Linked DNA regions of Bombyx mori. The protein of the gene in region 2 purifies or fractionates together with the protein of the main gene of each other region. This does not show direct contact. Links are inferred from orthologs where the notes say so. Each region holds a gene or a part of one and is shown on either strand. Other genes may lie near its edges.

The links.
Region 1: the proteins of muskelin (region 2) and E3 ubiquitin-protein transferase MAEA purify together in Homo sapiens (affinity purification with western blotting; 3 studies listed by BioGRID and IntAct, with this or other methods). This does not show direct contact. The link is inferred for Bombyx mori from reciprocal best matches to the Homo sapiens genes MKLN1 and MAEA.

What each region holds. Positions count from the first base shown.
Region 1 is NC_085132.1:9,957,904-9,965,462, forward strand, and holds the start of E3 ubiquitin-protein transferase MAEA, read right to left. Parts: upstream 3,555-7,559; 5' UTR 3,089-3,554; intron 3,012-3,088; 5' UTR 2,963-3,011; coding exon 2,924-2,962; intron 1-2,923.
Region 2 is NC_085125.1:2,155,147-2,162,605, reverse strand, and holds part of muskelin, read left to right. Parts: coding exon 1-23; intron 24-2,843; coding exon 2,844-3,056; intron 3,057-4,112; coding exon 4,113-4,314; intron 4,315-4,401; coding exon 4,402-4,594; intron 4,595-5,849; coding exon 5,850-6,028; intron 6,029-7,178; coding exon 7,179-7,299; intron 7,300-7,459. UniProt on the Homo sapiens protein: Component of the CTLH E3 ubiquitin-protein ligase complex that selectively accepts ubiquitin from UBE2H and mediates ubiquitination and subsequent proteasomal degradation of the transcription factor HBP1.

The DNA.
Region 1 (7,559 bases), on a different chromosome or scaffold from region 2:
TACCGAAAGTGAAAACTTATCTTCAATTGAAAAGTCTTCATTTATTTATTTATTTAATTAGCTATAACAACATAGTGAGCACTAATTCAGAATATAGGTGAATAGAAAAGAAGGTTCATATTAAGATCCCCTCAATTGTACAAATGACATTGCAATAGTTGACAGCATTATTAATAATTTTATTTATTTTATACATTGTAAAACTATTAATACCAAAATTTTACAATTCCATTCGAGTAACAAATTTCAGAAAATCTATACTAAATTAAAAAAAAAAAAGTTCTATTAATCATAACTCTATCGAGTCTTTAAAGATCTATTAGAACAAAAACTTAAGTAACTAAAAAATCATCAAGTATAACTGAACAGTGATTTAATTGTGTTAATTCTATATATCTGAGAACATAATATATGTTTAGTTTATTTTTTGTTCATTATTACTTTACCACATACTATATTATGCATACATTTACTAACATGGCATACATTATAGCAATAATATTATAGAATTTACTGGTGGTAAGATGTCTGCCCACATGAGTAGGGACCACATAACTATTTCCTATTTAAGAGCTTATACTCTTCACTTGAATTCTCGTCCATCCCGAAGAATGAAAACGAAAAAATCTGTAAAGCAATGTGAAATTTAGGGCTACCTAGGCAATGTTGTAAGATAAACATGTTGCTTATAAAACTTTCCTTCAAATTCAGTGAAAAGATGATGATAGAGCCTCATTTATTATATAACATGCCTATGAGCTCATAAACATGACAATACCAGGAATTACTCTACATTTAAGAACAGTTGAACTGTGGCAGAAATATGTATGACAGTGCAGATCCATGCACACAAGCTTCTGGAATGCCCATAGAAACTTTTCTTTTCAAAATGTAAATAGGCAGTACATTATTATTTTTTTGTTGCCCTTGTAGGCAGACGAGCATACGGCCCACCTGATGGTGAGTGGTTACCGTCGCTAATAGACCTCAGCAATGCCAGGGGCAGAGCCAGGCCTCTGCCTACTGCCTATTACCTACCTATTCAATAATTCTTTGACACTGACAACATCTATAAAATAACTTGCAATCATCCTTTGTTCAATGAAATTGTTGAGTAAAAATATGAGTGTTATTGATAAGGTTGCTGTAAACGATGGTGAAATTCAAATCACATTTTTACAGCTCTGTGATAATACAAGCGAAATATTTAGATTTGATCATGACTATGTGGCAGATGTTACAATGGACTTTTATAGAAGCTCTCTAACTCAAATATAGTTTTAAAAAGCAACAGAATATTTTACAATTCTGATTCATCAGTAATGTTTTCAAAAAACAATAATTCTAATAATATTATATTTACCTATTGCTTACCTATCATATTTAAGTACCTATTTAAGTAATAACTAATTATCTTTCATTATTATGAGATTCATTTTATAGTCTATGACAAAAAATACAAGCCCTTTCAAAAGATATGATATGATATGATTTTAATTATTAAGTAAATAGTAAGAGTTCAATATTATAGTTACAATACATACTATAATATATATTGTTGATGTACATACATACATACATAGTTTTGTTACATAATTCTTAAGCTGCAAACTGTGATTAAAATAATAAATTGTAGTTTACACTTCTGTTCACATTTCCATGACAGAGAGTCCTTGAACAGATTTTTAAGCAAATGTTATAATTCAAATGTTCAAAATCAATTCCAAATTTGATTTATTGTATTTACATTTAAGCAAGAAAGCCGTTTGCTTGGGTGAGGAAAAACGCCCCCATATCAATGGATGTAAGAACGCTGAGAAGACTATTACAAGTTACTAAAGAAGCATCCATTCATTGCCAAAATTCAGTAGGCATGTTTACCATCACTGGTCTAATTGCGGGACTTCACCTCTACAACCAAAAACTCACCATCTACTACTAGTAGCACCACTAGTCCTAGATGATGATGATAATGACTACTAGTCCTAGTAGTATCTATGACATAATTATGTTGCCTACATTAGTTTCACTTTGTTTATTATAATTAAATTTTTTCTGGTAATCACTACATAGCTGCTAAAATTTGTCAATTTGTCTAATTTAAAATGGTAATATATTTAGCATGTGAATTAATTACTAAATATTACTGTTATTATTATATTGTATTGTATTATATTATTATATACATTGTAAAATGTAGAAACTATAAAATAAAAAAAAATTCTTTGATGGAAGAAATGATCCAAACACCTGTTTAGAAAAGTTTGCAAGTAAGCTAACCTGTTTTTATTGCAAAAATAAATATCTATTTAAGCATTATTATCAGACCTCACCAAGCAGTCAATGACTTCATCTGAGATGCTTATGCCATTGTTACAACATTTGTTCACAATATTAATTTTCTACATCATGTTCTCGGTCATTTTATATCATCTAAATTATTCTAAATATATGCTATACTCATTTCCTTATTTGCTTATACTTCCTATATACCAAAAATAAATTAATGGCGTTTTAAACTGTGCAGTTGGTTTATTTTTACAGTTAGTTTTAATTAGTTTTTAGCTTTTAGTTGGTTAGTTTTTAGCTTTTAGTTGGTTAGTTTTTAGCTTTTAGTTGGTTTAGTTTTTAGTTTTGATGGTTTATTGTTTTTAGAAATTATATGTGCTACCTATACTTGCGAGCTTACAATATGCCCTACCATCAATACAATGCTTAATTATGCTTGATATTGCAATATCAAGTCCTTTTTGTGATAAACTTAATTTGTAATATATAAAAAAATATTGGAGTTTCGTAATTTAAGAATAGTTTTTTGCCATATTTTTTATACTCGAATATTCGAGGCTTTTAAATCGATCTGTTTCGATCCATCATGTAGAAAAAGGGCTGATGTCATTTTTATAGACAATTTTAAACTTACCTTCAATGTCGCATGCTCCATAGATTTGATCTCATTCATTTTGAAAACGATATTCGTCTGAGCGGGCTGATGATTGCAAAATTATGACCTATATAAATAAAAACAAAACTCAGCTGACTTAATATTTGTAAATGGACGCAAAACCACGACGTAATGAATACTTGCAATATAATTAATTCCGCAATGTAATGGAAACTTTTCAAAAACAAATAATTTCACTTGAAATCTGATTTCATGATAGTTCATTAAGCGTAAAATCCGAATAAATAATACTAACTCTAATTCATTGAATTCGAGCCTTTAATCAACTCCTTGCGTTGTGGGTATCTTTTTCTTTTGACAAACAAATGTTCCTGTGGTTCATCAGCCAGCGAGTTGAGCAAGCTAAATTTGTATTTTGTCTCTGTCATTTGCAAGCGATTTCACAGAGATGAAGGATTGATTTTCAAGTTCAAAAATAGTTGCCTGCTGAGTTCAACAGTTGTTTTCTTTCCTCTAAAACTCTTCCATTTAAAGATTAAAACAACTGTTTTCGCAATCTCCTCCAGTATCTCTTTATCTTAATATATGTATAATTTGCCCAATAATTGTAATTTCTTCCCCAGAAACAGCTTTTAATGAAGAAAATTTCTCAAGTCTTCTTTATTTCAGAACGCAAACCAAAGACAATACATTCTTATTTTTTTCAGTATGGCAGACGGTTTTTTTAAGATGTCATTGCTGCCAGTATCGAGTTTAGTTCTTCAATTTTTATGATTCACATACCTACATTTTTAATTCGAAAAATGAAAAGGAGCGGAATGAAAAAGTTGAACTATCGGCAATACCAAAAGGAAATTGAATGAAATCAAATAAAATGTAATGACATGAGATGAAATGAAATAATAAGCTGGATTTCAGTACTCTGACTTTTAGGAAGGACCCGAGTATATCCCATCATAATTTTGGCTATCTATGATTTATACATGCTTGTCACAGATATTTTAATAATATGGAACAAGATTCAGAAATTAACATACTAATGCTGAAAAAAACTATTTGTATAAGGTAACTGCATAATATATTCCGTCCGTGTTAATTATTCTTCTATTTTAACGTTAAGATAATAACAAAATGTTGGATTGTGTACCCAATATGTTAATATTACTATTTGTTACTACGTGTTATTACTACTTACAATTATTTGAAATAAAACTAGTCCGATGTTTATCCACTCTTCCACCGGAGACTTATTGCAGTGTGCTAAAAAGTAACCCATCAGAAACTACTCCACAAAAGTCATGACCCTCAGCGGTGAGGATACAAGAAGTAAGAAGGAAGATAGAAGCCGGAAGGCCAGATTCCAACGCACAGCTAAAGGTATTTGACTTGTACGTTTTGAACTTCCCCCGCAAGTTAGTGGAAACTTAATGAATCATTCGTCCAATCCTAACTTTTTTTATTTTTTTTGTTGCCGTTGTAGGTAGACGAGCATATGGCCCACCTGATGGTGATTGGTTATGGTTTAAGCCAAGCGACGAATTCAAACGACGTTGTTTGTGTCCAAAATTGAATTGATTGATTGTTAAAAATATCAAATATGTTTATAGTTTTATATCTATATTGAATTTTAACGATAGGGTAATTTGTAATAGTTATTTCTGTAAAAAAATCAAATATATTTTTGTGTTTGTGTAGATTTAAAAGTTAAATTTTACTGAAGGCGACGAAATCGGTTTTAAGCAAAATCGACTACAACAAAGCCGTCAAATTACTTGTCATAGACAAATATTAACTGACTCTACCATTATTTGTCAGCATCGGCGCGTCAGCGCGTCACTTTCGTTACGCAAATCCGCCATTTTGTATGTAGCTGGCGGTGCTTCGCGGCTTAGTTTCTTCGTTTAGTGAATTTACCTACGATAAACTGAAGAACTTTCTTCTAACTGACTCAGCAAGCCGGCTGTTCATAAAATTGACGATTTTGTGATTTTAGTTTACTCATATACCTTGTGCATTCGTGATTTGTGAGTGTCCTGTAATAGGAGCGCGTGGCTGGTCTTTGTTGTTGGATTTCGCTTATTTACGGTAAGTTAATTTTCTAAACGACTTAAATTTTGGTGATGCGAGGTATAAACTCGAAGTGTTATTTATGTTGACTTTGACGAAATTGCTAAGTTGAAAGTAGCGTCGAAGCGGATAGTATCGGTGCGCGGTGATTGCCTCGCCGTGGCGATGAGGACCGACGACATTCCCGCGGCGACGCCGACGCGTCATCTCTTGCTCGCACGAGAACGTGTTGATCGTGATTCGGCTATTCTAGAAAACTCTACCTAGAATTTAGACTCATATTACTTAACACTAATAGTCGTTAAAATGAGAATCAAGCATTTAGTTCGGTTTCAATAAACTTGTGACAATTGTGAGGTTGTGATGTGTGTGAGCTGATAACTCTGGAATTTGTACAATTAAATGTCACGAGGTGAGATTGGCCGAAATATTGTTTACGATGCTACAAAATAACAAAACTTTTAAACATGAACCGAGTGTCTATTTGCAAATTTTGCTATTATAAAAATACTTTTGAGGTAACACAACTAAAATATTTAAATCACTAATATTAAATCAAGTACACAACTAAACTGGCGGAAAGCAATATAAAGTTATTTTAACTAAAAAGAAAATATGAATTTCTCTTACAAAAAATTTGAAAATTATTTAGAATAACAGCACTCAAGATATTGATACTGATGAAAGATACTACTTCTACAACTTTTATTTTCTAAAACACTAAAATGTTCTTCGGAATGATTAGTCACTCATTTAACTTTGCTATTGCAAATCGATGAAAGTTTGGATTTGGATCTTAACTATCCCTAAATATACATTGTGTTTTAATATTATGTGAACTTTTCATAGCCTTTAGAAATAAAACTTAAAACAGAAATCTTTTTTTAAATGTTTCATATGATTAAGTAAATACAGTTTAAGGAATGAATAATTTAATTGATTTATATTTCTGGATATATTTACCCAGACTTCTAGGTCTTCTTAATCGCAAAAATAATCAAGAGAAAATTAAACTTCTTCAAGTCGAACAGTAATGTGGTAATTTGTTTTGTGTTGGTTTATCTAACTGAATTATTCATTTTCATTTCATTCATTTAAATCAAATTAAGTTAATTATTGTATTGTAGTCTTGATACTCATTAAATAAGCAGGGTCCTTTAAAGATAAACAGGAGCCGACCTAATTTTACTGTCTCTAATATATTGTATCCTCCATACTTTAGTGGATTGTGTGTCAATATAGATTGTAAAAGGGCAAATATTGGCCAATGACAATATCATGATTGGTGTGTGTGTATATACTAGGGCAAAACTGTCACTTATGTACATATTAGTTATACTAATTATATGTAATTATTAAATTAACAATATAGAGCAACATATTTTCATTAAAAAGTCAGATTGTTTAAAATCCTCTGGACAATGAGTGAACCTTTAATGTATTAGCTTATCATCTATTTATGAGAAATGACGGTGTAGTGGTGAAGTTTATGTTAGTGGTGAGATTTTTCTGTTTATTAGCTGGGCAGAGCACGAATAGTATTCTATGACAGAATTAAATTTAATTACATGTGCTTACTCGTATAAGTCATACAAAATATTGATTTAAATAAAAAGAAATTGTTCATACATGGACTGGCATCATGTTCCTCCTAGTCAAGTGGTTATCGGAACCTAAAAACTACAATTGTGCAGTTTTTCATCTTGAAACATAAAATGTAAATCTCAGTAGAACTCTAATTATTGTGGCTAATAGATATGACAGAGTAATGACCATGGTGGTCCTCTGTGCTTAGTATAGGTATTAGAACGAAATGAGGTGAGCGATTAGAGAGTTTGCAGACAGTTCCCGCAGAAGTTAGTAATAACTTGGGGCTGCAAGACCCCTTTTAGTCTCACTTTGGAATAAGCTTCCCTCCACAGTGTTTTCTGAGCGCTATGACTTGTCCTTCTTCAAACGAGGCTTGTGGAGAATACTCAATGGTAGGCAGCGGCTTGGCTCTGCCCCTGGCATTGCTGAAGTCCATGGGCGATGGTAATCACTCACCGTCAGGTGAGGCGTATGCTCGTATGCCTACAAGGGCAATAAAAAAAAAAGAAAAAAACTTCCATCAACTTTAAGCACTAAGAATTTAAGTGTAGTATGTAGTTAAAATATATATTTCTATGGTTCATGATTGAGTTTCATAATCATAGGAATTATTTTACTTCAAATTTGTTCCATAAAATTGTCATTTTTCTTTTAGCAACCGAGCATAATTTGCCAACCCAATTTTTTACATAGCAAAGTTTAAGTGGCTATTTCTACCCGTCCGTCAATTGGATGATAAACGTATAATGGCACCTAACAATAGTTACATGTATGCGAGTGTCGGCACTTGCGTCTTATCTTCACGTATGTATGATTATACCGTGAAGTTGGCCTTGAAGTCATCAGTAGAAAATTTCTTAGTAAAAAAAAAACAAAATGTGTGCAATTCACACGTGGTAGAAGTGAAACCTTCCAAAATTAAAATACAATTATCCTAAACGTCTTAAGTATATGAAAATTTTTGTCATTAGTAAATAATTGTAAGGTAACGCACTCT
Region 2 (7,459 bases):
CATTCCTCGGGCTATGTTCCAGAGTAAGTTTAAATTTTTCATTAAGACTAATTTGAGAAGGCTGATTCGGTATTTTCAAGTTTTTTTCCCACAATTTTTTTATAATAATATTGTGTTTTTGCGTCATATAAATCGTTCCTTACATTATACTATAAAATTGCAATGCATCATGAAAGCAAAATTTCGCGTGGTATTTTTAGTCCTACAGGTACGTCCGTTTATTTGCCTTCTTCTCGTGTTATTTTCATATTAAGCTTATCTGGCTCTAACAAACCATCTGTAACTGAATATTTCATAATCGTTATTCCAAATTAAAAGATAGGAAGTATGATTTTTCACTTTGTCAAAATATGTGGAACTACAAACACTATAAGATATTTTAAAATTATTGAAATTTTATATTTGTTACAGTACACATAAATGTCTGAGTAAAAAATGTGCAGTTATAAAATATAAAAAAAATATCATGATAGACATTGTAAAGTAAAATAAAAATTATGATTATTAGATACTTAACACACCATATCTATTTCGTTAATAATCCACACACAAGTTTTGTTTTAGAGGAAAAAAAGTCTTTAAATTAATAAAATACAGTTAAGCACTTACAGGATCTGACATCTGATCAGACATCAGATTGTAAATACCATTGTCCTTGAGATATCCTTTTTTAAGTTACAATCTTTTTGTGTACTAGGCATCTCAGTGTTTGGATCAGTAAACACAACTTTAGACCAGAAATAAGATTATGTTATACAACTGAGTTAGACCTCAAGTTGGGTGGTGGCATTCATATAGATATGTCTATGGGCTCATACCGGGAGGGCTGTGAGATTGTTCACCTATTTAACCAATAAAAAAGTATGCAGAATAGTGATCTACTTGTGAATTTTACATTAAGCATTTCTTAAAAAATATATATATAAGTATATATATTGTATAATTACTGGTGGTGGAAGCAGTAATGTGTTTCTATTTTCAAGGGTGGAGCAACCATTGCAATTTTATAACTAAAACCTTAAAATTCATGTCTCAAGGTGGGTGGCTGCATTTATGTTGTTGATGTTTATGGGTTCTAGTAATTTCTTAACACAAAATGGGCCGTGAGTGCGTCAACTCATCTCAGAAACAAATAAAAAGACCGAATTAAAAAAAACCGTAATAATATCTTACAGGAAAAATCTGTCACGGATCATTTCCCAATTAAATATAAATTAATCTTAAGCAATCAATCAAATGTAATCAAATCTTTTTTTATTTTTTATATTTTTGTAGTTAATGAACTGTCAATTGTACCTATAATTGAGGTGACATCTGTTATGAACTTTTGTCAATTGTTCAATGTTTTGTATTGATGATCACTTTGTTGATGCAATTTAATAAATAAATAAAATAAATATTGATACACTTAATTATATTTGTTCCAATAAAAACTTTTACAATCTTGGGCTTCATCTCTGCCCAGTTTTAAATTGAATAATCAGAAAGAATTGTTTTAACAAAACATAGCTGTACACAGTGCACACTTTATACACACATACATTAACATCAATTATTATATTGTCATTTGGAGGACGTTTACAAATTTACTGATTTATTTGTCTGCCTTTGGATGATGCAAGAATGCATTGAATTGTGTACGTTAGATATGTTCAATTTTTTATGCAAATGAAATAATCAATTATACAGCTTTATAACTTTTATTATATTAATTGAACAAAGATTGTTGGTTGACTTAAGTTGAGGGAGTCACATACTAATTAAAACTAATTATAATTCAATATTTTGTAGTCTCATGGTCAGGGTCATTGTATGTAAAGTATTCAAAATGACTGAAATAATAAAATGAAAAATAATAAAAACGAGTTTAAACCTCATAAGTAGGTAGCTTTAATTATGTTGAGAGAACAGAATAAAGTACCAAGTCACATTCTGTATTGAATATACAGTTATTTTGTAGCACACAATTGTCTCAAGATGAGTGATGACACTTGTCATGAGCCTTCTCAACTTCTCAATAGATGGGCCAGATGCTCACCTTGCTATCATCTGAGCGATATTATCATACCGTATCTAAGCATCTAAGTAATAACAGAACTAAAAATCAAACCAACATAAATTGTAATAATAGTTATTGCGATAAAAACCTCAAGTCTAAAGATGGTGGCGTTTGAATTATGTTGCTTGTGGGCTCAAGTAACCACTCAACATTTAGCTAATCAATCGGGGAAATCTGCCACTTTGTGCTAAGCAATCTATTTTCTGTTATTATTGTGTAGCATGATCTGGATCTGGTGTTTAACAATTATTGATGAACTATATTCTAGAAGGCACATTATTGAACAATTTAGTATTGAAAGTCACACCAAAACTCACTTACAGAAAATAATAGTTATTTACTTCAAATCTGAATATTCCATAAACAATATGAAAAAGTTTTAAGCAAAATTAATTTGTGAAGAATTAATAAGAAATAAATGAGCATTTCAGGAATTCAGTACTACGTACCTAACACATGAATGGCTGTATTGATGAAGGAATAACATTGTGTAATAACATTCATACCTTCAAGAATTGTAATATGCATAGTTAATGGACACTTAAGAAATATACCTTAAGTCTTAAGGCAATATTCACTTTGTGATAATGTAATCACTTAATACCCGTAGATTCTTGAGCTGGTTCAACTGTAGATACAATAAAACTTCTTTGTTTAATAGTACTACTCAAATAGTTAGGTAGAATGATTAGAAGTTGCTGAATGGAGCAGAAGTAATCTAATGTAGCAGTTAAGGTATCGAGCTGCCCATACATCTTATAAAATTCAAATTTTTCTTTTTCAGGAACATCATAGTGAATCAACCATCAGATCCATTGTCAAGGTGGTTCACAGACTGCTGCGTTTCACCACAATTCATAGTTATAAAACTGGACTCTCCCTCTATAGTTGAAACAATCAAATTCGGAAAATATATCAAGGCACTCGTTAGTGATCTCAAAAAGTTTCAGGTCTATGGTGGAACAGAAGATAGCAATATGTCTCTGCTGTTGACTGCGTGAGTTGTTGGCTTGTTTGTATAGGATAATAAGCTATTTTCATTTTGTAATAATTAATTAAGCAAGACTAAGTAATTTGTTGTAAATTGGACTTGACGTATATACAGTTATAATAACACAAACACTTTCAGGCATATTGAGAAAACACTTTCTAACGTTTTATATCTTGATGGTTTTTTTCACAAGTGAGTCGTCTATTATCAAAGGTGGCAATCTGTGCATTTGGACAAAAAAATGTTATTGATATGTCAATACAGATTGATTTGAATATAATTGTCTCCTTCAAAGAATACGGTTCAAAACCTGCATTAAATAAAGATTAATACTTAACCTGTTATTTATCTAAGATGTCGTTCAGAAGAGTTTTGTGACTGCCAATGGAATACAAAGTCAATAATTCGTTTTTCTGATTTACCAGTAATTGTCCAAAAGTCACATTGCCGGCTTTGATATTAGTCGACTCAAGTATAAGTTAGCAATTGTAATAATATATAATAATAATAATAATAAGCCTCAAGCTGTCAAGACTATAATGAACAAGGATCCACATAACCAAGATTGCTCTGTCAAGAGCAACTGACTATGATGAAGCTGGTTAACTTGTGGTGTAACAATTTGCGCTCATAGCAATTCTCAATATTTACTGAATGGAATTTTCATCCTGAGTCTTTGAGTGAATGCTGTTTGCACCAGGCTTATTATTGGGCTATGCTCCCGTTATTTGATCTCCATTTGAAATACTCTGAAACATACATAACGGCCGTCTGGTGTAGTGGTAAGTGACATGGTCACTGCACAAGGGGGTCGCGGGTTCGAATCCCGCCAAGGGAAGATATTTGTATGATAAATATAAATGTCTTTCCAGGGTTATGGGTGTATATAAAGTATATGTATGTGTATAATAAAAATCTTACATTTATTTCCGTTAGCTGGTACCTGTAACACAAGTTCTTTACGAACTTATCACGGGACCAGTTAACGTGGCGTGATTGTTAATAAATATTTATATTTATTTATTTATTTATACTAGAAATGAAATTTGTAATTATTCACAGTGGCTTGAAGAAAGACAGTACACCGGAAACATTCAGATTGAGGCACAGGACACAGGAAGGATTTTACTTCCCTGTTGAATACCTAAAGATTGTCCCACTACAGTCGTGGGGCCCTCCCTACAATTATACCATATGGTACATAGAGTTACATGGCAAAAATCAGGCAGAACTTCTCAATGAGGCACTGGAGACAATTTATTTGGTAGGTTTATAATTTTTTTTAACGTGTTTTAAAAATGCGTTAACTTGCCATTTGAAATGAACACATATTGTATATCATAATTTACAGCGTAAAGAAGAAGAAGCAGTGCGATTGTTACTAAAACACTTGAGGCGGAGACGCTACAAGGATGCTTTCGAAGCTTTGTCTAGAGAAAGCGGAGTGCAGCTCGAAGGGCCAACACAGACTAAACTCTGGAACGCTTTAGTCGAGAATGGTGACTATCAGGCGGCCGAGAAAATTTTCGAACAAGCCGTTAATGGTGAGATATGAAATTCATAATTTAAAAAAAAACAAAATCAAAAAGTTTTTATTCACCTAGGCCTTCGAGGGCTTTTAAAATGTTGTGCAAGAAACTCTAGAGTTATCTGACTTTAAATAAATGTCCAAAGATGTATGTATAAATATCGGAACATTGTTGAAAAGTCCAGATTATTATAATAAGAACCCAACTCGAAAAACTAGGCCTGGTTTATCAAGTACTAAACAATGTTCTGTCCGTCTTGTTACTATATATTAGGGAAAGTAAAGTAATTAGGACATCGCCTAAAAAAAAAGTATAAGTGATTCGTTGTACACGCATCGTCCAGGCAATACTGTTGTTAAATTAATGTACATTAAGGTCTTCACAGATAATTAAAAACATTGTTACTCTATACCTCTGTTCTCTGTGCCTTTATCAATGCCCCGTCTAGCTGAATCGGAAGAAAATAGTCCTTTTCTTTCATTCCGTTTGAAAAGGAAGTTGTGGCGAAACCTTTAGTTCCGTCACGCGCATGCGCCGCTAAAAAATTCAGGGAGGCCATGACCCCCGCCATAAGTAAACAGATTGTACATCTATACATATTATAAATAAAATTGGAGTGTCTGTTTGTAATATTGAAATAACCGCTTTTTATATATGCGGTACGGTACATACACCAAAATAGCATTCTTTACAATTGTTGTCTGTCTGTCTATCTGTCAGTTTGTTCCGGCTAATCTCTGGAATGGCTGGATCGATTTCGACGAGACTTTCACTGATAGGTAGCTGATGATATAAGGAGTAACTTAGGCTACATGACATAGAACATTTTATTATTTTATTTAGAGCCGCTTTTATATAAGCATTCTAAAAAGTAAAGAAAAAAAAACATGTGTGCAATTCACACGTGGTAGAAGTGAAACCTTCCAAAATTAAAATACAATTATCCTAAACGTCTTAAGTATATGTAAAATTTTGTCATTAGTAAATAACTGTAAGGTAGCGCCCTCTGTGAATTGATATTTTAATTTCACGTATAATCCTAAATTAAAATTCACTACAAGAGCATACACACGTTAGTATTAAAAAATCTCACAGATGGCGCTGTATTAAATAGTATGTATATTTCTGTCTCATTCTTTGCTGGCTTCATCCTACACATTTTTGTATTTGTGTCTCTTACCTGTCGTTTTTTCCGTTGCATCCGGTTTGAAATCACAACGATTCTAAAGAAGTTTTCACTTCAATAAAAATATTCGTGTCGTCGGTGCAGATGGCGAGTTAGAGTGGTACATGTCGTGGCAGCCGTACCGGCCGGAGTGGCGCGAGATGTCGGCGTGCTCGGCGCAGGTGGAGGAGCGGCTGCGCAGCGGGGACGCGCACGTGGCCGGGCCCCCCGCCGCCCCGCACGACTTGTTGTGCGCCGACCGCGAGCCCAGGCCCGACGCCGCCGTAAGTCGCGCTACTTGACTCGCCCTCAACTTATCTTATACCTTTAAACGAGCAATTCTTGTATATATATGTATATACAGTCAAACCTGCGTAAGTGAGAAAACTCTATGAGTGAGAGTAATAGCCAGGACCCGTCATTTTAAGCTCCCAAAACCTCTATTAGCGAGAAACAGAATCCTCTGTAAGAGAGAGTCGTTTTTCTCTCATGGACCTCCGTAAGTGAGACTGCTACTTATCTATACCTCTATAAGCGACAGTCGAACTTTATTTATTTATATTATTTAGGAGGAACAAATGACAAAACAAATTACAAATTTAACATCTGCTATTTTATGACCCATTCTTAGCTTTCGTGGAACTTCTTAACATTGTTTTTGTATTGTTTTCTCGTCAATATTGAACCTATTCTATTTCGTGGAACTAAATTACATTGTTATTTTATCGTATTCTTTTCGAATGGACACGTATGCTGCCTATGTACCGTCCTGTTTGTCGGACTTAGTCACTTTATCGTTAATCAATTGCGAAGGAAAGTTCTGTTCTGCATCATGTCAAAACGGAAAATTAATGTACTGTCATTAAGTGATAAACTTAAAATAGTGAATGCGTTTGAATCCGGAAAATCGCGAAATGAAATTAAGAGGGTGCATTAGCGAAGAAACTCGGGTTAGTGAGAAACCTCTATAAGCGAGAATGAGATTGTGCTCCCTTGAACTCTCGCTTATCCAGGTTTAACTGTATATATAATCTGAATCGGAGACGGTTGGAGCCTTCTCCGAGATTTTCCGATTTTCATAAATAAATAATAATAATAAATAAATAATTTATTTTTAATTTTTTAGCTAAATTTTCTATAAAAGCCTATTTTTAAAACTTAAGTACTTTAACATCAATTCCTGCCTTATCGACTATAGATATAAATTATATAAATTAGCAAAAATCTTATTTTGCAAATTGAATAATGGAATAATCTTATCAAATTAGTGTATTGTCATCGGTCCTCGATAAATTTACAAAGTTTGAAGGAAATCTGGCCGTTTAAAGTGGGTCAAAATCGTGTCTAAAGGCGTCAGTGTGTTTGTAACATACATACAAGTGAAGCTAATATAAAGCGTGTAAAAAAAATCGTTTCTTGAATTGTCGACACCAGGGTGCAGCACCAGTAAGCAACGAGCTGTTCGAGACGTGTGACCTGGCCTGCGGCCTCACCGCCTGCTGCAACAAGCCTGGCCCCAGGGGCGGACACCAGCTGGTGGTCGATTCTACTACGGGTGAGGAAATTATTATGTACTAGCTGTACCCGTCCGCTTCGCTGGACATTTAAAATTAACATTATTATTTCTCACCCCCACAAAGATTCACATCATTAACGCCCCCGCAACTGGTGTAGGGAGTCCAACACTCATATAAATATTAGTCTATCCATTAAGT